Oryctolagus cuniculus: one gene and its partners. The protein of the gene in region 6 binds, or shares a complex with, the protein of the main gene of each other region. Links are inferred from orthologs where the notes say so. Each region holds a gene or a part of one and is shown on either strand. Other genes may lie near its edges. The genes, in order: SMARCC1, SMARCA2, ARID2, PBRM1, DPF3 and SMARCD2.

Region 1 (3,500 bases), on a different chromosome or scaffold from region 6:
GCTGACATTACATTTGGGTCTTTCAGCATTACAAAATCCGGGTTCATTTTCCACCTAAGCTGCTGCCTTTGTATTACTGAGTACACTTCATTCACCTCATGTTTGATAAAGATGAGCGCCTTACCTCTGCGCATAGCTCCTGAATAGTTTTCAGTTGATAAAACCCTAACAGTACTGACTTCAGACTGATTTGTTCACCGCCTGAAGGATATCTAAGCTCCCAGATAAGTTTCTTCCCAAAGTTTGACTTATTGTTGAAATAAGATTTGAGGTTTCAGGATGATCACTAAAGTTAGGTCACCTAAGGAAGATGTTTTAATACCTTTTACACAAATTATTTGACAGTTAAAGATAGTTAAATGGTTATTTTTTTAAAAAGATTTATTTATTTATTTGAAAGTCAGAATTACAGAGAGAGGGAGAGACAGTGGGAGATCTGTCCACTGGTTCTCTCCCCAAATGGCCAGGCCCAAGCCAGTAGCTTCATCTGGGTCTCCGATGTGGGTGGCAGGGGCCCAAGGGCTTGGGCCGTCCTCTGCTGATTTTCCTAGGCTATTAGCAATGAGCTGGATCAGAGTGCAGCAGCTGGGACTTGAACTGGCATCCATATGGGATGCTGGTGCCGCAGATGGTGGCTTAACCCTCTGTGCATAGCACCAACTCTGTAAATATTTTTAAGATTTATTTTTTATTTATTTATTTTTATTTTTTTGACAGGCAGAGTGAACAGTGAGAGAGAGAGAGAGAAAGGTCTTCCTTTAGCCGTTGGTTCACCTTCCAATGGCCGCGCTGATCCAAAGCCAGGAGCCAGGTGCTTATCCTGGTCTCCCATGGGGTACAGGGCCCAAGCACCTGGGCCATCCTCCACTGCACTCCCTGGCCACAGCAGAGAGCTGGCCTGGAAGAGGGGCAACCGGGACAGAATCCGGCTCCCAGACCGGGACTAGAACCCGGTGTGCCGGCGCCGCAAGGCAGAGGATTAGCCTAGTGAGCCGCGGCGCCGGCCAAGATTTATTTATTTGAAAGGCAGAGTGACAGGGAGTGATAGATGTCTTGCATCCACTAGTTAGCTCCTCATATGGCTGCAACAGCCAGATTGGGCCAAGCCGAAGCCTGGAGCCTGGAGCTCCATCTGAATCTTCCAATTACCGGGGCCATCTTTTACTGCTTTCCCAGGCACACTGGCAGGGAGCTGGATCGGAAGTGGGGCAGATGGAATGAAATCCTTTGCTCTCTTATAGGGTGTCAGAATTGTAGGTAGCGGCTTGACCTGCTGAGCCACAACACCAATCCTAGTTATTTTCATAAATCATATCTTTTCTTTCCATTTCCTACAATCTTTTTTTTTCTTAATTTTATTATTTTGTACAGCAGGGAGACAGGAAGAGACAGACAGACACAGGTTGTCCATCTGCTGGTTTACTCCCCAGATGACTGCAACATTTGGGACTGGACCAAGGCTGATGGAAGCCAAGAGCTGGGAACTCAATTTTGAGTCTCCCTTATGGGTAACAGACTCAAACACTTGAGCCTTGTGGTAGAATGTGCATTGTGGTGCAGCGAGTTAAGCTGTGGCTTGGGATGCCAGTGTCCCATTCATATATTCATGCCTGGGATCCAGTCTTGCCTTTGCTTCCATTTTAGCATCCTGTTAATGCACCTGGGAGGCCATAGTTTATGGCTCAAGTACCTAGGTCCCTACCACCTGCATAGGATACCTAGATTAGTTCTTGGCTCCCAGCGTCAGCCCAGTCCAGGCTATTGCAGGCTTTTGAGGAGTGAGCCAGCAGGTGGGAGATCTCTCCCTATCTTTCTTTCTGTCACTATGTCTTTATTTTTCTTTGCCCCCCCCCCTTTTTTTTAGATCGTTATTTATTTGAAAGACAGTTATAGAAAGAGAGGTCTTCCATCTGCTAGTTCACTCACCAAATGGCCCCATTGGGTGGAGCTGGAGTTTCATCCGGTTTTCCCACATGGGCGCAGGGTCCCAAGCTCTTGGGCCATCTTCTGCCGTGTTCCCAGCCGCATTAGTGGGGAGCTGGATAGGAAGTGGAGCAGCAGCTGGGACTCAACGCCCATTTGGGATTCCGGGGCCTAACCTGCTAAGCCACCATACTGGCCCCCACATGAACATTTTTTTCCCGTTTTTTTTTTTTTTTTTAATGTTTTATTGAAATATAGTATATATACCATGAGATGCACTTAAGTATAGCTTTTTTTCATTCTGAATGACAATATTGGGAATGAAACATGTATGTTATAAAGGACCTTAGAATATACACAAAGATACATGTTATTTCAAATTTTTATTTTCATTTTTTATTTGAAAGGCAGAGAGAGCTCTCCCATTTGCTTGTTCACTCCCTAAATGCTGACAAGCCAGGAATTGATTTCAAGTAAGCCACATGGGTAGCAGGTACCCAAGTACTTGAGCTATCATCTTCTGCCCCCTAAGATGTGCGTTAGCAGGAAGCCGGATCAGAGGCCCAGTTGAGACTTGACTCCAGGCACTCTGATGTCAGATGTGGGTATCCCAAGGCACAGTGCCCTTCTCTGTCTACTAAAATTTGAGAACAATGGCTTTAGACTGACAGTTGACATCTTATATGCTCTGTTGTATAAAATTTGTCTTCAGTGTTTGATTCATGTCTGGCATATACTGCTATGTGTCACATGTGTGGGTGTGTGGGTGTTTTTTTATTTTTTTTATTTGACAGGTAGAGTTATAGACAGTGAGAGAGAGAGAGAGGCAGAGAGAAAGGTCTTCCTTCTGTTGGTTCAACCCCCAAATGGGCGCTACAGCCGGAGCTACACTGATCCGAAGCCAGGAGCCAGGTGCTTCTTCTTGGTCTCCCATGAGGGGCAGGGGCCCAAGCACTTGGGCCATCCTGCACTGCCCTCCCGGGCCACAGCAGAGAGCTGGACTAGAAGAGTATCAGCCGGCACTAGAACCCGGTGCCTTTATGGGATGCTGGTGCCACAGGCGGAGGATTAACCGAGCGAGCCTGTGTGGTATTTTTTTAAATAAAAATTTATTTATCTGAAAGGCAGAGGTACTAGATGCCATTCTACTAGAATGGCAGTGCTTAGTAGATACTAGGAAGTAAGCCAGCAGTCTCTCCTGCAACAGTTGTACCACTTTTTAAGTCTGTCTCTTTATTTTGCAGTATGTTCATGCGGATGCTCCTACCAATAAAACACTGGCTGGGCTGGTGGTACAGCTTCTCCAGTTCCAGGAAGATGCCTTTGGGAAGCATGTCACCAACCCGGCCTTCACCAAACTTCCTGTAAGTACATCAATTTATAATAGTACTGGGGCATTTTCAGTTTCTGTGTGCCAGCCTATTGCTATTTTCCTTTGCTATGACTAGTGTATAAATTTTAAAAAAGGGAACCTCAACAGAATTTTAGCTGAGGCTTTTTTGCTGTTTAAAAAAATATATTTTTTAAAAAATTTGAGAGACAGAAACAGACACATGTGACTCCCATCTGCTGAAACT
Region 2 (4,248 bases), on a different chromosome or scaffold from region 6:
CACATTTAGGCCCGAAGTTTGAATCTGCAACAGCGACTCACACTCCTCGGACCTGGGCGAGGACCTGACAAGCGACAGTGGCCGCCGAGGCCTTCGGTTCCCCCCGTGCACGGTGCCTCCGACTGGAAAGTTTTCCACGCCAGCGATCGGAGGACCCGTTTCCCCCGCCAGCCCGACTTCGCAGGAAAGCCGAGACCGTAGACCCGAGGGGGGCTGGCAGGCAAAGAGCTGGAAAGCTCGGGACACCGCGGCGGCCGCGACGCAGGCTCCTTACCTGGGGGACGCGGAACACAAAAGGGGCTCAGCGCCGGTGGAGCGTGGGGAGGCAGCGCGCAGCGCGGCGGGGAGCGAGTCCTCCGAGCCGCAGCCCTAGGCCGGCGCCCGAGCCCGCGGCCCGGCCCCCGCCGCCGCCGCCGCCGCCGCTTCCTCCCTCGCGCGCGTCATGTCACGGCGATCAAACATGTCTGTGTGCGCTTCGCTGCTGTGACTTCCTGATTCTCCGCCGCTCGCGCGCGCACACACACTCCCAGCCACTCGAACACGCCGCCCCCACCGGCCCTGGCCACCAGCCCTCGCTGGTCCTCCTCGGGCTCCGGGGGAGCGCGCCGCAGCTCCCGACGCGCTGCCCGGCGCTCACAACACACACACACACTCACTCACTCACACTCACACACACTCGCGCCGGGCCCCAGCCGCGGGAGCTCGCCGCCCCCTCCCAGCCCTCCTCCCCACTCACAGCCCCGCCAAACTTTTTTTTTTCCTTCCTGATCCACGTCCAACTTCCCTCCTCCCCCACACCCCGCGAGCAGCCTGGCCAAGCCCCGCGCTCACCACCATCCGCAGCGAGCGGCAACCCGGATAAAAATAATAATGCAATCCAGGCGAGCGGCGGCGGCGGCGGGGGCGAGCGCGCAGATACTGGCAGGAGGCGATCTCCCCGCGTGTACCGGAAACCGGCGCGAGTGCCCCGGCCGGGGCGCGGGTCTCCCCCGGAGCCCGCACTGCTGCGCCCCGCCCCGCCCCGCGCCGCGCGACTGCGGCCGGGAGGCGAGGCCTGGAGCCGGGCATCCGAGGCACTGCTCGGCGTGCGCCCTGGGGCCGAAAGGCGCCTGGGGGCTGGCGCTCCGGACTGGTTATTTGGGGAAGTGCATCGCGACACCTTTGCAGATGGCATGGCCGTGTTTTGCAACGCAGACGGGAGGAGGGAAGACGGCCGGGTGGAGGAGCAGCGCAGAGGCGCGGGGTGACCCAGGTTGGGATGGGAACAAGGCAAACTCGCACGCAGGGAGCGAGAAGGAAGGGGTGCGTGTCATCCTTGGGAGGAGGCTCTCCCCGGGTCTCCCCGCCTCCCGCCCTCGTCACTCACCCCCCTCCATTCCCTTCCCACCGCAGCCCTTCCCCTTTCCTGGCGAACGCCACCGCCGCTGCCCGGGTGCGCGCGGGTCCTGTTTGTGACAGTCAGGCAGAGAGGATTATCCGGATCACGGCCTTCCCGGCCCGGAGCCGCCGCGGCTCTCCCGGATCCCAGCGCGCCCCTAGGACCCGGACGAGCACCGGCGCCCCCGCGGCCGCGGCTCCCGCAGCGCCAGCCCCGGGGAAGCCGCCGAGCAAAAAGAAAACAGACCCGTGGGGGTGGCGGGCGGGCGGCGTGGGGGGGGCAGGGTTGCAGAGCCGGGCAGGCACCTCCGATCTCCTTCTTCGGTGCCTCCTTTCGCCCGCCCAGCCCAGGCGGCCCCGGGGCCGGACACCCGAACTTTAGCACCCGAGCCCGCGCTGCTGTCAGGTACCCAGGGGGCAGGACGCCCGCGGCACCTCGAGTGCAAGCCCTCCGGACGGCGCCTTTGCCTCAAGGCCTGCTGAACGGTCAGCGTCCCCATCCCCGCCCGAGGGGACGCGGAGAGTGGAGGTGACACCTCCGAGCCGCACGCACCAACCCCGCGGCCGCGGCCGCAGCCTCCTCCGCGCGATCCCCCCTCGCGGCGCCGCAGCCGCAGCCCTTTAAACATTCCCCGGGAAGCGAGCGGCGGCCGCGTTCCTCGGCTCCCCGGCCGCCCGCCCGGGCTCCTCCGCCCTCCTTTCCCGTCCCCCTTCCAACTCTTCCGGGGAAGACGGCTCGGGATGCAGGGTCGCACCTCCCCCCGCCCCAAACCACCCACCCACCCAGCCCCCGCCACCCGACGTTTCAGGGGATGGTGGAACCGCAACCTGGCCGAGTGCGTGCGTGTGCGTGTGTGTTGCAACCTTGAGTTGGCAGCGCATCCCTGGCTCCAGACCCAGGGTCAAGGCTGTGATCTGTTGCGATTTCCGCCCCGCTCGCCCCCCTGAAGCAGTCATTACGACGGTTATTATTAGAACGGCAAGGTTCGGCCGAAACTTTCTGGTCTCTTCCACAGCCGCCCCGGGAGCTGGCGTCCGAGCCTTCCACCTGAGGCCCGCGGGGGAGAAGAGGCGGGCTTTTTTGTGTGTGTTGCGGCGGTTGGCCCGCCTGTTTGTTTTGGTCTCCGTGCATGCACAATAAATAATAATTAGGGTAATAATGAATAGTCGCCGGGGAGGGCGGCGCGGTGCCGGAGGGGTTCGCGCGCGGCGGCGGCGGGGAGGCCGGAGGGAGGAGGAGGAGGAGACGGGAGTTGTAAGTTCTATTTACCTTGCTCGCGAGGAGTGTGCCGGCTGAATCTCTTCCCTCTCTGAGTCACCCAGAGTACAGAAACACAGGGAGAGAGGACTAGATTATGAATATGACTTCATTGATGACAGCCGTCCCCTCCTCTTCCTAAACTCGGGCTCCGCCCCGCGGCCCACCCTCGCCGCCTCCACGGGCGCCGGAAGACGCGCCGCAGTTGGCCCCGCGCGCCGCTCCTCCCTGCCCGGCCGGGCGCGGGTTGGCGGGACGCGCCTGTCACTCGGCCTGCTCAGCGACTCCGGGAGCGCGGTGGGGGGAGCAGGGGGCGGTGTGCAAGAATGTGCAGCGAGACAGCTCTACTGTATGCGTGGATCCGTGCGTGTGTGTGTGTGTGTGTGTGTGTGTGTCGGCGAGGCGCCGGCTCGCGGGCCGGGCTTGTGCCTGGAGCGGAGGACCTGGTGCAGGACGCCGAGCGCCCCGAACCCTGCTGGAGCCCGGTGCAGGCTCGCCCAGCTTGGCCCAGCCTCGGAGGGGTGCTGCGGGGCTCCTCCGGGGAGGCTGGGGAAGCGAAAGGGAGAGCGAGCCGTAGTAATAGCGCGTAGTAGTTGGGGCCGTCCGTGGAGAAGGTGCTGGAATTTAACTGTGCCTCCGCCTGCCAGAGCGAGCCTGCAGAGGAGCGGGAGGGGAGGCAGGGAGGCCCCGAGGGGCACCAGAGCTGTCGGTGGCACAATGTTGACCATGGAAGAAACGGACATGGTGGAGCTGGCTGAAACTTTTTCGACCCCAGCCCCCCCTCCCATAAAGGGTTAGCTGTCATTATAAATCTGCTTCTTCCCCAGTTATGGGGGGGGGGCATTGTAATCCATAAACTGTACTTTGGAAATTTATATTCATTAAATAAAAGTTAAAAAAAAACAGGCTGCAGACTGCTGATTCACAACAACAGACCCGCACTTGGAAGTGTGCTATTTAAAATATACAACATCAAAGACCACATCAAAGGTCACAAAGGGTCAGTTTTATTTTACATTAAATAAATAAAGGTGGTGTTATAGCAATTAAAAACAAATCTGCTCCCTCCCCATAAAGGGAGGCGGGTACCAAGCGCATTCCTGCCAAATCTGTCCCTCTAAAGGACTACCAAGTTCCAAATGCCAGCGAGGGAGAAACAGCTGAGAGGCTGAGCGCCTTCCCGGTGAATAAGCCCGCTCTGGCCCCAGCGTTGGCTCCGCGGGCTAGGCAGCACTCACCCTCGCCTCACCTGTCAGCTTCCAGTAAAATACACCCCAAAGTGGGGACACACCACCCCGTGGGGGACGGCGGGGCGGAGGGCTAGGGGGAGGCGTGGAATCTGCTTTTGATTTAAGGAGGGGAATAAATCTCTCGTATTCTCTGCGAATCATAGTCTCTCTTCTCCCACCGCACATTTAAGACCAATTAAGGCAACAGACTGCAATCTGCTGGCTCATCACGGTTTTGAGACCTCTTGCTCCAGTTTTCCTTAAAATACAGTATTTTGGCCGGACCCAATAGGCCCGTGTTTGGTGAGACAATTTTATTTTTAGTTTTATGAAGTGTGAAAGAATGTTAGGAGATTTTAAATCAGGGGCCTATTCTTTTAGACT
Region 3 (3,500 bases), on a different chromosome or scaffold from region 6:
AAACATGTGTGTGTAAATCAAACATAGAAGCACTCAAAAAAGACAGAGGCTCAGAATTTTCTAAATTCTCCAAATGATGTTAGGTAGATGTTCTCTACCTTGAGATTACTAATTTGGGTCACAAAAAAACCTCAAAGATCCAACCATGTGTCATGGTTAACAACTGAAAAGTGTCCTATTACAGCCGGAGAAAAAGCATAGGCCTGCCCGAGTGTGAGCGAGCGACCACAGCATCACCTCCAGGCTGCATCAGCGACCGAGAACAGTGGGTAAGAGGCACACCGTGGTGCGGTGACTCACCTGCGGGACCACATTCTGTGCATACGTTGGTGGATGCTGCTGCTTCTGCTGCGCAGCACTTTCTATTGCTACTTTAGCTACAGTGCTTGGATCTGCTCCTGCTGGCACAGCAACCATTGTGGCACTGCAGCCAGCGTTGTTGGGGTCACTGATTGTAACAATCCGAACTCCGACTTTACTGGGAATTCCTGGGACTGTCTCCCTGTCACTGTCCTCTGCTGGCCGCTTGACAGTTTTGCACTCTGCTGTGCCATTTGCAGACCGAACGTCAGATGACAGGGCAGAATGGGACACTCGGGGTCCTGAGTGAGGAACTGTTAGGATCTGATGCCCCTGTATAACAGAGGTTGTAGAATGTGGTGAGACAACTACACTTGGGCGTTGCTGAGGCACATCTGAATTCAAACTTGAAGCTAGAGGTCCATTGGGCAAATCAGTACCACTAGACTGCTGTGCTGCCAGGGCTGAAGCCTCCTGTATGCTGCTTCCAGATGGTGAACCACCCAAAGTTAATACAGGTCCATTAGAAATCCTTTCTAATTGATCACCTTTGGCAGTATCTTGCTGAGTGGCATCTAAAGTCCCTTGTGGTTCCATTGGAGATATCTCACCATTTCCTACATGATTGGAAGTTTTGTGATTTGGAATGTTTTTGCTTAAATGAGAACCATCTCCTTTATCAAAATCACAGATTCCATTAACCAGGGGTTTCTTCAAATCACTTTTGATATCCTGCACGTCCATCTGTTCTGAGTTCTGTTTTCCAGATGCTCCATTCTCACCGAAATCTGTCGATGGCCCATTACTAAAGAGTGAGCATGGACTGGCCTCACTCTGAATTTTCCCTGAGTTTGAAGGAGGTAGACTTGAGTCACTGTACTTTCTCCCATTTAAAAGACTTCCCACCTGTATGTCACTTTCCTTTGTATCCCCATTGCTGGTGTTTGTAGTTCCTCGTCGGCAGGACGGGTTCTCCATGACTTCAATTTTACGTTCATGAACATGTAAACCTGTTGCTTCCTTTGCTTCCTCCTCCTTTTGGCAAATTATTTTGTCACCTCTGAATGGGGGAGTAGCAGTAGTACATGATGATTGTCCGGCTGGAGATGCCTGCGTGGCCGGAAGCGTTTGCACCTGAAGCCCAACTCCTGCCTGCGTGCCACTCACGGTGATTCCTGCGGGAGCGATGAGCTGAGCTGCATTTCCCTGACTCACAGTTGCAGTTGCAAAACTCGTATTTGGCACAACTGTTATGGTTACCTGGTTGCCAGATGTCCCTTGAAAAATGGTTGCGGGGCTGTTCGAGATCAGCGGGCCTGGTAATATCTGTAAGTTCGAGATGGGCACAGTCTGCACTCCCCCTGTGGGTGGCATTGCACTTTGGACCAACTGAACATTTTGCTGCCCAACCAACAGCTGCTGAGCTGGAGTTTGCCCCTGCACTCCAAAGCCTGCTGGTTGGTTATTGGCCACCTGATAGACCACCTGAGGGCTAGGCGCTCTTGCATTGTTAGGGGGAGGAATCTGTGGAGCTGGGAGGATAAGCTTACCACCTGGTGTTGAAGGACCACGCTTTGGGAGCAGCAGCTGTTTTATCAGACTCGACTCACCAGAAGCAGGCTGCCCAACTCCTGCGTTTGCTTGCTGAGGTTGAACTTGCATCTGGACTTGTGGCTGCTGAACTTGTACTTGTACCTGCTGTGGTGGGGGTGCTGGTGAATGCTGCTGCTGTTGCTGCCTTTTGACAGACAGCATTTGACTGACAGTAGGGGGTGGTCCCTGTGACTGAGGGGTGGAAGATGATGACAGGGCAGTAGGGACCTGGTTATTAGTAGATGGGACAGGTGATGGTGAAGAAGATGGAGTTATGTTTGGTTGTCCAGTTAGCTGAACTGCCTGACCAGCCGGAAGAGCTGTTGGATTAGCAAGAACAATCTGGTGAATGGCTGGTGCATACGTTGGACCTTGTTGAGCTGGCTGACTTACAATCACTACACTTTGTTGGGCTGGCTGCTGTGGCTGTTGAATAGGCTGCTGGACCACTGTTGATGAAACTTGCTGAGAAGGGAGAGGCTTTGGTGCAATGTTCTGAAACCCTACCCTGGAGGGCTGCGGACTTGGGACACCAGCAATAGTAACCATTTGTCCTGCAGCTACCTGAAAATTCTGCACTGAAGTTGCTGAGACAATATTGGATGCAGAGGTTGTTACATATGGTGGGGGTGCTATGATGACAGTGTCCTGTGGCTGGCTACCAGCTGACGTCGGCTGAGATGAAGTCTGCACAGGCTGGGGTGAGGTGGTGATTAGCTGCTGACCCTGTGAAACTGCAGAAGTGCATGCTGGTATATTCTGTACTCTGCCAAATATATGACTCTGTGGGACCGCTTGCTGAATTACTGTAACAGGGGTGCCTGAAGCTATCTGTCCTGGTACCACTGTGTGTAATGCAGACGGCTGTGGGATTACAGATGGGTGGTGTAGCAAAGTCTGGGAGTTCACAACGGTAACAGGTTGTGGCCCTGCACTAGGATTCTGCACCACAGAAGTCTGGGGAGGCCCTCCTCCCACAGCAAGGCTAACAGGAACTGCTGTCTGGGGCACAGAGTTCTGGATTACTGTCGCCTTAACAACTTCACAAGAAATTGGAGCTTTATTTTGAATGACAGTCACTGGAGCATTCTGCTGCTGGTGGGTATGAACTGAAGGATTTGGTGGAATTCTTGAAACAGTCTGAGCCACAGTATGAACACCTTGTACTGGAAAAGACATTTGTGTTGCAGTCAAGCTTGAAGACTGGTTGGTAACAGGAGTCCTCTGATAATGGTTTCCTACAGCTTGTGATCCATGAGGGATTCCTGAAAACAGGGGGAAAAAAGCCAAAATTCAAATGAAATGCACTGGAAGTCTGCAATTAGGACTTACTTTACTTAATGCAAAAAAATACCGTTAAAAAATTAATATTCAGCAACTTCAAATCATATGATTATGAGAAAATAACAGCTCAAGTAAGAAAGCACTACCAGAAAAACAAGGAAAAGCTGTACACTTTAAATTTACATAATACAACGCTTAAAACACAATAGAAATTATTACCTGCAGGTGGAGGAGCTGGAGACCCGTCAGGAAGAGAATCGACACGAACCACAGGCGTCGCCGCTGGCTGCTGCTGGTAGTACATCTGCACGGGGAGTGGGAGG
Region 4 (4,061 bases), on a different chromosome or scaffold from region 6:
CTACAGAAAGATAAGAGAACTGGAGAAAACAGGCCTATCAGTTCTCTTGTACCTATCAAAACACACTGCTACAAAGACTCACTAACAGTACTTGACATTTCTTCCATTTTAACACGGAGTGCTTTCGTACACTTAAACGTCTCACTGAGGGTCCCCTTTACTCACATGGAATGACTGTCAATTCCAGGAATGAAGCATGCCTGCCCACTGCCCCCTAGTCAATAAGAGCAGAGTTCAATCACAGAGCTGGAATGGAGAGTGAACACATGTGGGAGGCTCACATGTGACACCAAGTGTTGGCAAGCTGGAACAAACCGAGAATGGCTCATGTGAGCAACAAGTTCGGAAAACTCCTCCCCCAACCCCAAAATTCAGAGACAGACATTTCTTTCCAAAAGTCCTATTTGCACTGCAAAGACACAGCATATAAATTTAGCAAGGTTAAAAAAAAATGCCTTCAACGATTTTTGCAGTTCGAAATTACTTTTGCAAACAAACTGAAAACCAAATGACAAAAATATAAATTACCAGTGTGAGTACCTAGTTTAGATACAATACCCCAAATCCTGAATAAGAAAAAGATGCAATCCAATGATAACTTTCAAATATTTTCTTATCCAAAGGACATAGTTTAAAAATGTAATTTGGAAGTTTGGCAAGAAAGGCAATCTTGCAAGGCACAAGGAACGTCCACTCAAAACCAGAACAGGAGTCCCAGGTCTTTCACCTCTAATTATCTGTTTGATGTTGCCTGAGTCATAACCTCTCAGGTCTGTTTCCTCATCTCTAAGTGAGAACAGTAAAACGTGCACAGAGCCCTTGGATTGCTGAGACAGGGAAAGGAGACCCCAACTCTAGCACCACATGCTTCCTGGACACAGGAACAGCATCTTACTCAATTCTGCAGCCCTTACAGACTAATATTTCCTATAGGATGGGTGCTCAACTGTTGTTAATAAATGTACTGAAAGTGCACAAAAACAGGGTCTTTAAAAAAAAGGTCATTTGCATAATTTAAAGGCCTGAAAGCACCCTTCAGCAATTTTATTCCACGAAGAGATTCTGGAGTTCAATTCCAGGCTTTAAAAGGGCCTTGACTGTAGTCACAAGTCAACAAGTCTGACTGCCAATGAGAATTTACCATGGATAGTAAATAATACTTTATAATGTACAACTGGGAGAATATTTACTCTATATAGCCACATGGTATATTGTGACAGTCTATAAACTTTTAGTACTTTCCTATTTTTTAATGGTATTTAGTTCTGTAATACATACAAGCTTTAGAAAAAATACCAGGAAACCTAAGACTCAAATCAAAACTTAAAAAAAAAAAAAAATAGCACCCATAATCCTACTTCCCAAAGAAAAACTACTCAAATTTTGTGCTCAGAGCTTTTGGCATTCATCTATGCTTTAATAGCCTAATTTCTTTTAAACAAAAGTGTTAACAAACTCTATTATTATTATTATTATTATTATTATTATTATTATTTCATGGCCTCTGTTTTAAGTTAGGGAAGATTCTCCCAAGCTAGCGTTCTTCCTCATGATGTTTGATGTTTTGAGAGCAGTCTATCACAAAGATATAAAATTTATTTATCCAGGGAATTTTGGCAGAATATTAATATTTGAAGTGCTTTGTACACTCCCAAAGTCAAAGAAAATGGTCAAACTCCTTCCATTTCTCCAGACACATATTTGTTTCAGTTTTAATCTCAAACACCTCTTCAAGAGGTACTTTCCAACCTTCCACTCTGGATCTTAAAATCCAGACGGGCAATTCGCTAACAAAGAACAAAAGCAAAGATTTACTATTCTTTTATACTGGCATTGAGTACAGCCTGCTTCCCAGATTCGGGGGAAAGCGCAGTAACGAATGGAAAAACTCCAAGACCGAAAACCATTTGGAGTCCCAGTGTGGAGGAAAGGAACACGTTTTACTCCAGCATATGCCACTCCACCGCGTATTTGCCATTGGTTTTCCAGGATTCTTCCCTGTCTTTGCCGCTCTTTGTTCCTCTGCACATCGACTCTTATTCCTTCTAATAACCAAACTATGCTTCCCTTTCAGAACGTAAAAAACTTTGATGGAAAAATATTGTTTAAAAAACAACAACAGGCTGTTTTCAAACCGCGATTCTTTGTAGTGCAGCGAATGAGAAGCTGAAACACTTGATGTTTAGCCCCTACTCTCAAATACAAGTCGCAGTCACAAAAATACTCGGTCTGAACCGTCGCCCAGAAAGATAAAACGCGTCTCCTAAGCAGAGTTTGCTGTTGAGCCCTCAACAAACAACAACAAAAACAGGCCCTAAGCGGCGGCGCAAACGGAGGACCTGGCCGACCTGTCACTGGTAGGGGACTAAGGGAAACGTTGACAGCTTTGAAGCTGCCGGGCGACGAGCGGGAAAGCGGCGCGCGGAGTTTCCGGGCCGCAACGCGCCTTTGTCCCGGCCGGCAGGTGCGGCGAGGCTGCGGGGCCCGTCCCGAGGCCCGCCGCCGCGCCCCGCCCCGCCCGCGCGCCCGGCCCGACCGGCGCGTCCCCACGGCCGGGGCGGGGCCTCCGCCGCGGCTCCCGCCCGCCCGCCCGGGCCCACACAAAGGCCCGGCGGCCGGCCGAAGGGGAGCGGCCCCGCCCGCCCCGGGCCCGGTCTTACCCAGCCGCTCCGCCGTCTGCAGCCCCGGCCGCGGTCGCCGACCGCCACGCCACGCCCCGTGGCCGCCACGGCTGCTGCTATTGCTCCTCCGGCCGCGGCCGCTGCCGTCGCTCCGGCACCCGCCGCCCTCACCGCCCTCACCCCTCCCAGAGCCGCCGCAAAACCAGCCTTGCTGCCGCCAAGCGAGCCTGGCTCCGCGCGACACTGCGTGCGCGCGCACGCGGAGGAGAGAAGGCGCGCTTTACGACGGTAACGTGACTGCGTGACGCTGGTTCGTGGCCTCAGTTCACACGTGGCGCTCGCCGAGGAAGGTTGCTGCTGCTTCGTTCTCTGCCGCCGCGGTTTCCGCAGCCAGCATGAAGCGGCCCAGTGAGTGGGATCGGCAAACGGGCTTGCAGGCGCCTCTTTTTCTGGTGGTTCCTGAACGCACCAGGGCGTTGGTCTCTGGGAGGTTGGGGCCTGCTGGTGGGCCGTTGCCCTGCTCCCGGTATAACCGAGCGTTGGGCGGCCTCGTGTCCATCCTGTTAAGCCCGGGCCGAGGGTGGAGAAGATCACGCCATATTGTCAGGAGACCGCGACCGAGCCAGGTGGCAGGCCGCGTGCGGGCGGGCTCGCTGAGCCGGGGAGCCGCTTCCCAAACCCACTGTTGCTCTCCTGCTTTATGATCCGTGGAGCTTACACGAAGTGGCAGTCGTTTTGGGACTCGTATACTGCTCTATGTGATTTCCGTCTAACACGGAAACAGCAGGGATTTGGGGCTCCGTTCCGGATCTGGGATTTGAGAGTAGCATCTGTGTTTTTATTCAGCGCCCCACATGATTCTTAACGTTAGATTTGACATAATACACAAGGGTGTGACTCTAGTTCACTCACGGAAAACTAAACCAGGCCGTGTGTTATGTGTTTCTTTGTAGAGTTAAAGAAAGCAAGTAAACGTATGACCTGTCACAAGCGGTATAAAATCCAGAAAAAGGTAAGTGTTGCGCTTGGGAGAGCTGTACTGAAAAAGGCTGTTAAGCCGACTAATGCCCTGGCTCTCCCTCATCGAGAAGTCTGGAGTAAAGATGGAGTCTTCGGGAGGTGGAACAGGATGGACTGACCAAGCACAGCACAAGCTCTCAGTGATCAGGAGTGCAGCTTTGGGAGGGCGCAGTGTTTGGTGTACGGAAGCCTGGGAACTTCCACGTAGTCATCTCTGCAAGGAGAGCCTCCTAGTGTCGTTCTGTTGCTGTTTTTTTAAGTATATATTTTGCTGTCTGTGACTCCCATTAAAGATCCGTTTTTCTTGGGGCATTTACAGGCATGACTAGGTTGTATGCATATTGGTCTCTTACTTGAATTGTGTTAAAGTAGAAAGGTATTTTTTGTAAACTGATTAAATGTCTTGTCATCATAGATTCG
Region 5 (3,500 bases), on a different chromosome or scaffold from region 6:
GCTGAGGGGCAGAGGTCTGGTGACAAGGCCTCTCGCCCAGATCTGCGTGCAGATTTCCAGCCTGGGACCCACACCACAGAGGGACAGGGGAGGGCTGCTCTCCACGGGCCTGGCCTTCTCTTGGGGACACATATGCAGGATGCCTCCGGAATTCGGTGTCCCACCCAGGCCTAGTGACATTCCTTGGAACCCGCGCCAGGACCACGTGCAGCCCCCATCCCACCCGGTGGGTTCCCCAGCCCTGTCCTCCCGGCTCCAGCCAGGCGGCCGCACACCCAGGGGCGGCGCGGCTCACCTGGCCCTCGGTGCCGTTTCTCCATCCAGATGTAGCAGTTGTTCTGGGCCACCCCGGTCTGCGAGTCCAGGAAGGGGAGGCGCACGCTGCGCTCCGCGCACAGGCGCGAGTTGTAGCTCCGGCAGTGCTCGATGGCTTCCTTGTAGAACTGGTCCCCGAGCCTGCGGGAGACAGGGACGGAAGGCATGAGGCCGGGGGAACCCGAAACAGCCCCAGAGGCAACCCGACGCCCCCGCATCCATCTCCCGGGAAGAATCTGTGCGGTTATGAGGATCAAGACGAAGCGCACGGAGCGCAGTGCCAGGAGCGCCTCCGCCAGGTTCTATTTCCAACCCCAAACCCACCGGCAACCCGAAGCTCCATCAACAGACAGCCTGGAGCGCAGCGAATGAGCCACCAGGAACAGTGACGAGGCCGCGCCGTAGAAAGCATGTGGCCTCTCTCCGGAACAACATGCCGCGTGGGGTCTGCTTCTAGAATCCCCCTCCCAGCCGTCGTGACCCACGCCCTGTGCTCTGCAGTCACAGGCAGACGCTCCAGAGGAACCCAAGCTCCCAGCCAAGCTACCCGGATTCCTGCCACTGCGGGAGAGAAACACTCTGACCAGAGGCTGCAACTCGCCGCAACGCAGAGCGATTCACAGGGGAACCGGGGCAGACAGGGACAGACACCCACACTTTGAAACCACATCCTTCAAGAAAAATGACTTTCTCTGATGGGAAGCAAACAAAAGCAGCATTCAAAATAATAGTTGAGCTCAGAATCATTCAACTCTTGGGAGTTTAAAACACAAGTAGCGAGACCTGTTTTGCTGGAGTGTGGATCTGATTAAGCCCAGGAAATTCTACATTTTCAAGTCTCTGGGATCCACAGACATACGGTGATGCTAATGTTAAGAAGGTGTCCTTTTGAAGACCAAAAACATGCCATTGACTTAACTAATCTAATGTAAAGCACAAAAATAATCAACGAGATCAAATGCCTAATAAATAAAGCAGAGGCACGTGGTGGAGGGTAATAAATGGCTTAAGGAAATAGAAATATAATAACATAACTTCCAGTGCTGTGGCTTGTAGGCTAAGCCTTTGCCTGTGCCATCAGCATCCCATATAGGTGCCAGTTTGAGGCACAGCTGCTTCACTTCCCAGCCGGCTCTCTGCTATGGCCTGGAAAAGCAGTAGAAGATGCCCCAAGTCCTTGGGCCCCTGCACCTACATGGGAGGCAAGGAAGAAGCACCTGGCTCCTGGCTTTAGATCAGCACAGCTCTGGCTGTTGAGGCCATCTGGGGAGTGAACCAGCAGATGGAAGACCTCTCTCTCTCTCCCTCTCTCTGCCTGTAAATCTCTCTCTCAAATTAGTAAATAAAATCTTTTTTTTAAAAAAAAGAAAGGTGTGAAATTAATAAATTTTTTAAAAAAATAACATCTGCCAGGTAAATTTGAACTTCTTGGGGAGGGGAGGGAGGTGAGAAGGGGAGGAGACACAGGAACTGGAGGTGCAAAGGAGAATCAGGTCGCTCATTCTGAACCAGCATTGCGAGTCCTTTTTGGCTCTATTGTAGATTTGAGAAAGTCAAAATCTAGGAGAGAAAATCTCTGGGTTAAAAATCTGGTTTTTCGGCCGGCGCCGCGGCTCACTAGGCTAATCCTCCGCCTAGCGGCGCCGGCACACCGGGTTCTAGTCCCGGTTGGGGCGCCGGATTCTGTCCCGGTTGCCCCTCTTCCAGGCCAGCTCTCTGCTGTGGCCAGGGAGTGCAGTGGAGGATGGCCCAGGTGCTTGGGCCCTGCACCCCATGGGAGACCAGGAAAAGCACCTGGCTCCTGGCTCCTGCCATTGGATCAGCGCGGCGCGCCGGCCGCAGCGCACCGGCCGCGGCGGCCATTGGAGGGTGAACCAACGGCAAAGGAAGACCTTTCTCTCTGTCTCTCTCTCTCACTGTCCACTCTGCCTGTCAAAAAATAAAAATTAAAAAAAAATCTGGTTTTTCTTAACCAAAATATAATAAAGAAAGCCAAGTTGGGCTTTTACAATTCTTTTTTAAAAACAGACATAAAATTGATCATCTTAATCATTTCTAAGTATACAGTTCAGTGGTATTAAGTACCTTCACGTGGTTGCACAACCATCACCACCATCCAGCTCTAGAACTCTTCATTGTGCAAGTGAAACTCTACCGCTTAAACACTAACTCCTTATTCCACCTTCTCCCCAACCCTGGCAAACAACACTCGACTTTCCCTGCCTTTGATTTCAGTTCATCTAAGCACCTTACTTTTTAAAGTTAGATAATATTCCATTGTCTGTATAAACCACATTTTGCTTATTCATTCTTCTATCCATGGTTGCTTCCACGTTTGAGCTATTGGGAATAATGGTGCCATGGACTCTGGGCATATAAGTACTTGTTCAAGTCCCTGCTTTTAATTATTTCGGGCACACACCCAGGAGTGGGATTGCTGGATCATACGGTAGTCCCATTTTCAATCTGTCAAGCAACCACTCATATGATTGTCCTTAGTGGCTATCTCATTTCACATTCCCACCCACAGTGCACCAGGCTTCCAGTTACCCCATCTTCACCACTACTTGTTAGAAAGCAAAGTTCTAAATGAAGTTTTCTATACTGTTTTTAGAAAATCAATGGGTCAGATTCTATCAAAGAGTTCCAAGCAAACATCTTACTCTGGGAGAATACAACTAATCAACTTTTTGACAAGCATCTGGAAAAAAAGAAAGCTTTGGTTTTTTTCACCCCCTGAAGATCCTCGTACTCCCAAGGAAGGCATAGCATGCTCAGAAACTGTGCCGGTAGTTGCAAAATCAAAAAAATAATCAAATTAGAATAGTCACACAGCTGGAAATAAATTTGGGAGGGGAGGGTGAAAGCCCATTAAAATGCTATAAAACTGAATGGCACATAAGCTGATGTAATCAAAGTTGGTGACAAGGATCACCAGATTGATCAAGAATAATAATTTCCTAGAAAATGTGCATCTGTGTCACACCAGCTTAAATGCCTCCTCAACCCAGCTGATGTAGCACAGTGGGACAAAACTTACAACAGCTCAGCCCAGGCCGATGGCCCACCCTGTTCAGGGTGACCTGACTGTTCCAGCTCCCCTCCAGGAATCATGCTGACCACACTGGCCATGCCACAATGTCAGCCACACCACACTGATGAGAACTTGCAGAACTCCTGATGGA
Region 6 (3,049 bases):
AACTGCTCCTCCTTGTGCACTTAGCATAGTTTGTCAGAGAACCCAGCAGCACGCCCTCACGCTCTCTTCCATGCCCAGCCTAGCAAACAGAAGAGGAAGTTCTCTTCATTCTTTAAGAGCCTCGTCATCGAGTTGGACAAGGAGCTGTACGGGCCTGACAACCACCTGGTGGAGGTGAGAAGGAGCCTGGGGCTGGCACGCCAGCAGGGAAATGGCCTCGGTGCCTTTGGAGGACCAGGAGTTTATTCATGGTCACCCCTTATGCTCAGCCGCTTCCCTCCTCCCTGCCAGTGGCACCGGATGCCCACCACCCAGGAGACAGATGGCTTCCAGGTGAAACGGCCTGGAGACCTCAATGTGAAGTGCACCCTCCTGCTCATGCTGGATCATCAGGTGACAGAAGCCCGGAGTATGGCTGGGCCTTGGGGACTGGCATGGGAGGGGAGCAGGCGCTTCTGAGCCCTTCTTGTCCCTGCCCTGTTACAAGAACCACCCCCTCCCTCCCTCTTCTCCAGCCTCCCCAGTACAAATTGGACCCCCGACTGGCAAGGCTGCTAGGAGTGCACACGCAGACCAGGGCTGCCATCATGCAGGCCCTGTGGCTTTACATCAAACACAACCAGCTGCAGGATGGGCACGAGCGCGAGTACATCAACTGCAACCGTTACTTCCGCCAGGTTAGCCGGATGCTGCCATCCTGTTCTCAGCCCCTGCCCGGAGGCTGCTGCCCTGCAGCCCAGTGGTCCTAGAACCCGTCAAACCCTCAGGTATCACCAAGTCTTCGGGACTCTCTCCCCCTCTCCAGATCTTCAGTTGTGGCCGACTCCGTTTCTCTGAGATTCCCATGAAGTTGGCTGGGCTGCTGCAGCATCCAGATCCCATTGTTATCAACCACGTCATTAGGTAACTGGAAGGAGGGGGATGGGAAGCAGATTCACCTCTGCTTTCATCTGAAGCCACAGACGCTACGGGTTGGTTTCCTGCTCCCCAAGTGTGTGTATAGACTGGTGTGGCCCAGGGGGACAGCACAGACACCCCCTCCCTTTGTGTGCTCTCAGTGTGGACCCTAATGACCAGAAGAAGACGGCCTGTTATGACATAGATGTGGAAGTGGACGACCCACTGAAAGCCCAGATGAGCAATTTTCTGGCTTCTACCACCAATCAGCAGGAAATCGCATCCCTTGATGTCAAGGTGGGCCCTCCGCCTCCACAAGCTTGTGTGGCTCAGGTGCAGGCAGGCAGCTGTTGGCCTCTGTGCCTGCAGCACCTGCAGGATGGGCTCTCTGGTGCCGCCCTTCAACTTTAGGCCTGGGAACAGACCCCCAAAGCTGAGGGCCAGTCTGACACATGCACCCCTTTTCCCAGATCCATGAGACCATTGAGTCCATCAACCAGCTGAAAACCCAGAGGGACTTCATGCTCAGCTTTAGCACCGACCCCCAGGACTTCATCCAGGAGTGGCTCCGTTCCCAGCGCCGGGACCTCAAGGTGTAGTCCTCCTTCCTGAAGGGGAAGCCCCCATGATGGTCCCCCCCACCCCCACCCCCCAGTTCCAGGGGCAATCAGACCAATGTCATTGCTTTCCTCCTGGCTCTCGGCAGATCATCACTGATGTGATTGGCAATCCCGAGGAGGAGAGGCGAGCTGCTTTCTACCACCAGCCCTGGGCCCAGGAAGCAGTGGGGAGGCACATCTTTGCCAAGGTGAGGCACTGCCTGTTTGCCCTTCTCGGCTGTGAACAGCAGGGGCCTGAGCATGGTCTCCTCCTCCTCTAGGTGCAGCAGCGGCGGCAGGAACTGGAACAGGTGCTGGGAATCCGCTTGACCTAAACTGCTCAGGGATCGCTTCCTTCTTCCCCCCGGGAGCCTAGTAGGGGACCATCCACCGGGGCCTGGCTGGGGGGCGAGGGCTGTCTGTCACTCTACTCCCCAACTTTAGTTTCATAAATGTAGTGGTAGGATTCCTTGTTGCTTGGTTCCCAAAGCCTTATTCCTTACTTTCCATGTTGGCTTTAATTGGGTTCGCAGGATGTCTCCTCTGCCCCCTGCAGGCAGGCCTGGAGGCTGTGCTTTGTTTTGGAACCAAAGGCGCTGGGTTTGCATGTTTACAGGCCCCTCCCCAGGCGAGCGGGAGAGCTGGCTGGGGGAGCTGGGCAAGGAAGATGAGGGGCAGCCCAGACTCTTCCTAACCTCCTGAAACCAAAGTTCTTTGTCATTCCTAGAAGCCCAGCTGTGTTGCTGGTTTTTTCCTTTCCTTTGGGTATTTGCACTATTTGGGAGCAGGATTTTCTATGTGGGAGCCACTTATTTTGTACAGGCGTATGTCGGGATTTTTCAGGGAGCCCTGTTTGGTGCCTCCTTCCTTTCTTTCCTGAATCTATGCAAGCGGCTCCAGCCGCCATCATCTCCTAGGATGCCGGAGGGCGGGGCGGGCCCGCCAGGACCCTCTGCTGCCCTCTGGAGCTTGGTAGGGAGGGTGGGCCTAGGGTTTGGCAAGTGCCACTTCTGGCAGGTTTGGAAATTTCCAAATAAATCCTTTTGTTTATTGGTGGTGCCCAGACCTGGTCATTTGAACAGAGCGGAGAGGCTTGTCCTACAGAGCTTTATTTGAGGGGTCCACACCAAGGATGCAGGGCTCACTTCCATAGTTTCTTAATGGACATGTTCTTCTCACTGTCCTTTTGCATGACCTGAGAGAGAGAATCCGGTAATGAGCACAGGCCCTGGCCCACTGCTCCAGCGCCATCAATAGCAAATGCAGGAAGTCAGAGGCGTCTACCTTGGCAACTGCCATCTCGAAGTCCTCCTGGGTGACATGGACTCGTCGTTCCCGCAGGGCATACATGCCGGCCTCTGTGCACACACCCTGAACAGGGGAAGGGAGCTGAGGCTCTACCACTGGGCCCCAGGGCCCAGAACTTCTACCCTGCCCTCCTTCCCTGAGTCTCTGATCACCTTAACTTCAGCCCCTGACGCTCCTGGCATCAGCTCAGCAATTTTTCTCAGGTTGATCCCCCGGGTCAGGTTCATTTTCCGAGAATGGATCTT

Evidence for each region.
Region 1: SMARCD2 (region 6) and SMARCC1 share a complex: the UniProt entries of both Homo sapiens proteins name them as parts of the BAF complex. The link is inferred for Oryctolagus cuniculus from reciprocal best matches to the Homo sapiens genes SMARCD2 and SMARCC1.
Region 2: SMARCD2 (region 6) and SMARCA2 share a complex: the UniProt entries of both Homo sapiens proteins name them as parts of the BAF complex. The link is inferred for Oryctolagus cuniculus from reciprocal best matches to the Homo sapiens genes SMARCD2 and SMARCA2.
Region 3: SMARCD2 (region 6) and ARID2 share a complex: the UniProt entries of both Homo sapiens proteins name them as parts of the SWI/SNF-B (PBAF) chromatin remodeling complex. The link is inferred for Oryctolagus cuniculus from reciprocal best matches to the Homo sapiens genes SMARCD2 and ARID2.
Region 4: SMARCD2 (region 6) and PBRM1 share a complex: the UniProt entries of both Homo sapiens proteins name them as parts of the SWI/SNF-B (PBAF) chromatin remodeling complex. The link is inferred for Oryctolagus cuniculus from reciprocal best matches to the Homo sapiens genes SMARCD2 and PBRM1.
Region 5: SMARCD2 (region 6) and DPF3 share a complex: the UniProt entries of both Homo sapiens proteins name them as parts of the BAF complex. The link is inferred for Oryctolagus cuniculus from reciprocal best matches to the Homo sapiens genes SMARCD2 and DPF3.

Annotation. Positions count from the first base shown.
Region 1 is NC_091441.1:101,101,500-101,104,999, forward strand, and holds part of SMARCC1 (SWI/SNF complex subunit SMARCC1), read left to right. Parts: intron 1-3,167; coding exon 3,168-3,287; intron 3,288-3,500. UniProt on the Homo sapiens protein: Involved in transcriptional activation and repression of select genes by chromatin remodeling (alteration of DNA-nucleosome topology).
Region 2 is NC_091432.1:164,159,869-164,164,116, reverse strand, and holds the start of SMARCA2 (probable global transcription activator SNF2L2), read right to left. Parts: upstream 2,801-4,248; 5' UTR 2,648-2,800; intron 971-2,647; exon of another isoform or gene 832-970; intron 415-831; exon of another isoform or gene 275-414; intron 1-274. UniProt on the Homo sapiens protein: ATPase involved in transcriptional activation and repression of select genes by chromatin remodeling (alteration of DNA-nucleosome topology).
Region 3 is NC_091440.1:136,620,721-136,624,220, reverse strand, and holds part of ARID2 (AT-rich interactive domain-containing protein 2), read right to left. Parts: coding exon 3,397-3,500; intron 3,159-3,396; coding exon 301-3,158; intron 1-300. UniProt on the Homo sapiens protein: Involved in transcriptional activation and repression of select genes by chromatin remodeling (alteration of DNA-nucleosome topology). Required for the stability of the SWI/SNF chromatin remodeling complex SWI/SNF-B (PBAF).
Region 4 is NC_091441.1:97,043,352-97,047,412, reverse strand, and holds the start of PBRM1 (protein polybromo-1), read right to left. Parts: upstream 2,801-4,061; 5' UTR 2,661-2,800; intron 2,487-2,660; exon of another isoform or gene 2,349-2,486; intron 305-2,348; 5' UTR 166-304; intron 1-165. Other genes in the region: GNL3 (guanine nucleotide-binding protein-like 3), read left to right, coding at 3,017-3,029, 3,575-3,633, 4,057-4,061. UniProt on the Homo sapiens protein: Involved in transcriptional activation and repression of select genes by chromatin remodeling (alteration of DNA-nucleosome topology). Required for the stability of the SWI/SNF chromatin remodeling complex SWI/SNF-B (PBAF).
Region 5 is NC_091451.1:18,897,046-18,900,545, forward strand, and holds part of DPF3 (zinc finger protein DPF3), read right to left. Parts: intron 457-3,500; coding exon 296-456; intron 1-295. UniProt on the Homo sapiens protein: Belongs to the neuron-specific chromatin remodeling complex (nBAF complex).
Region 6 is NC_091448.1:14,883,575-14,886,623, forward strand, and holds the end of SMARCD2 (SWI/SNF-related matrix-associated actin-dependent regulator of chromatin subfamily D member 2), read left to right. Parts: intron 1-78; coding exon 79-174; intron 175-291; coding exon 292-393; intron 394-515; coding exon 516-677; intron 678-805; coding exon 806-903; intron 904-1,058; coding exon 1,059-1,194; intron 1,195-1,367; coding exon 1,368-1,490; intron 1,491-1,603; coding exon 1,604-1,705; intron 1,706-1,777; coding exon 1,778-1,831; 3' UTR 1,832-2,549; downstream 2,550-3,049. Other genes in the region: PSMC5 (26S proteasome regulatory subunit 8), read right to left, coding at 2,638-2,691, 2,781-2,867, 2,957-3,049. UniProt on the Homo sapiens protein: Involved in transcriptional activation and repression of select genes by chromatin remodeling (alteration of DNA-nucleosome topology).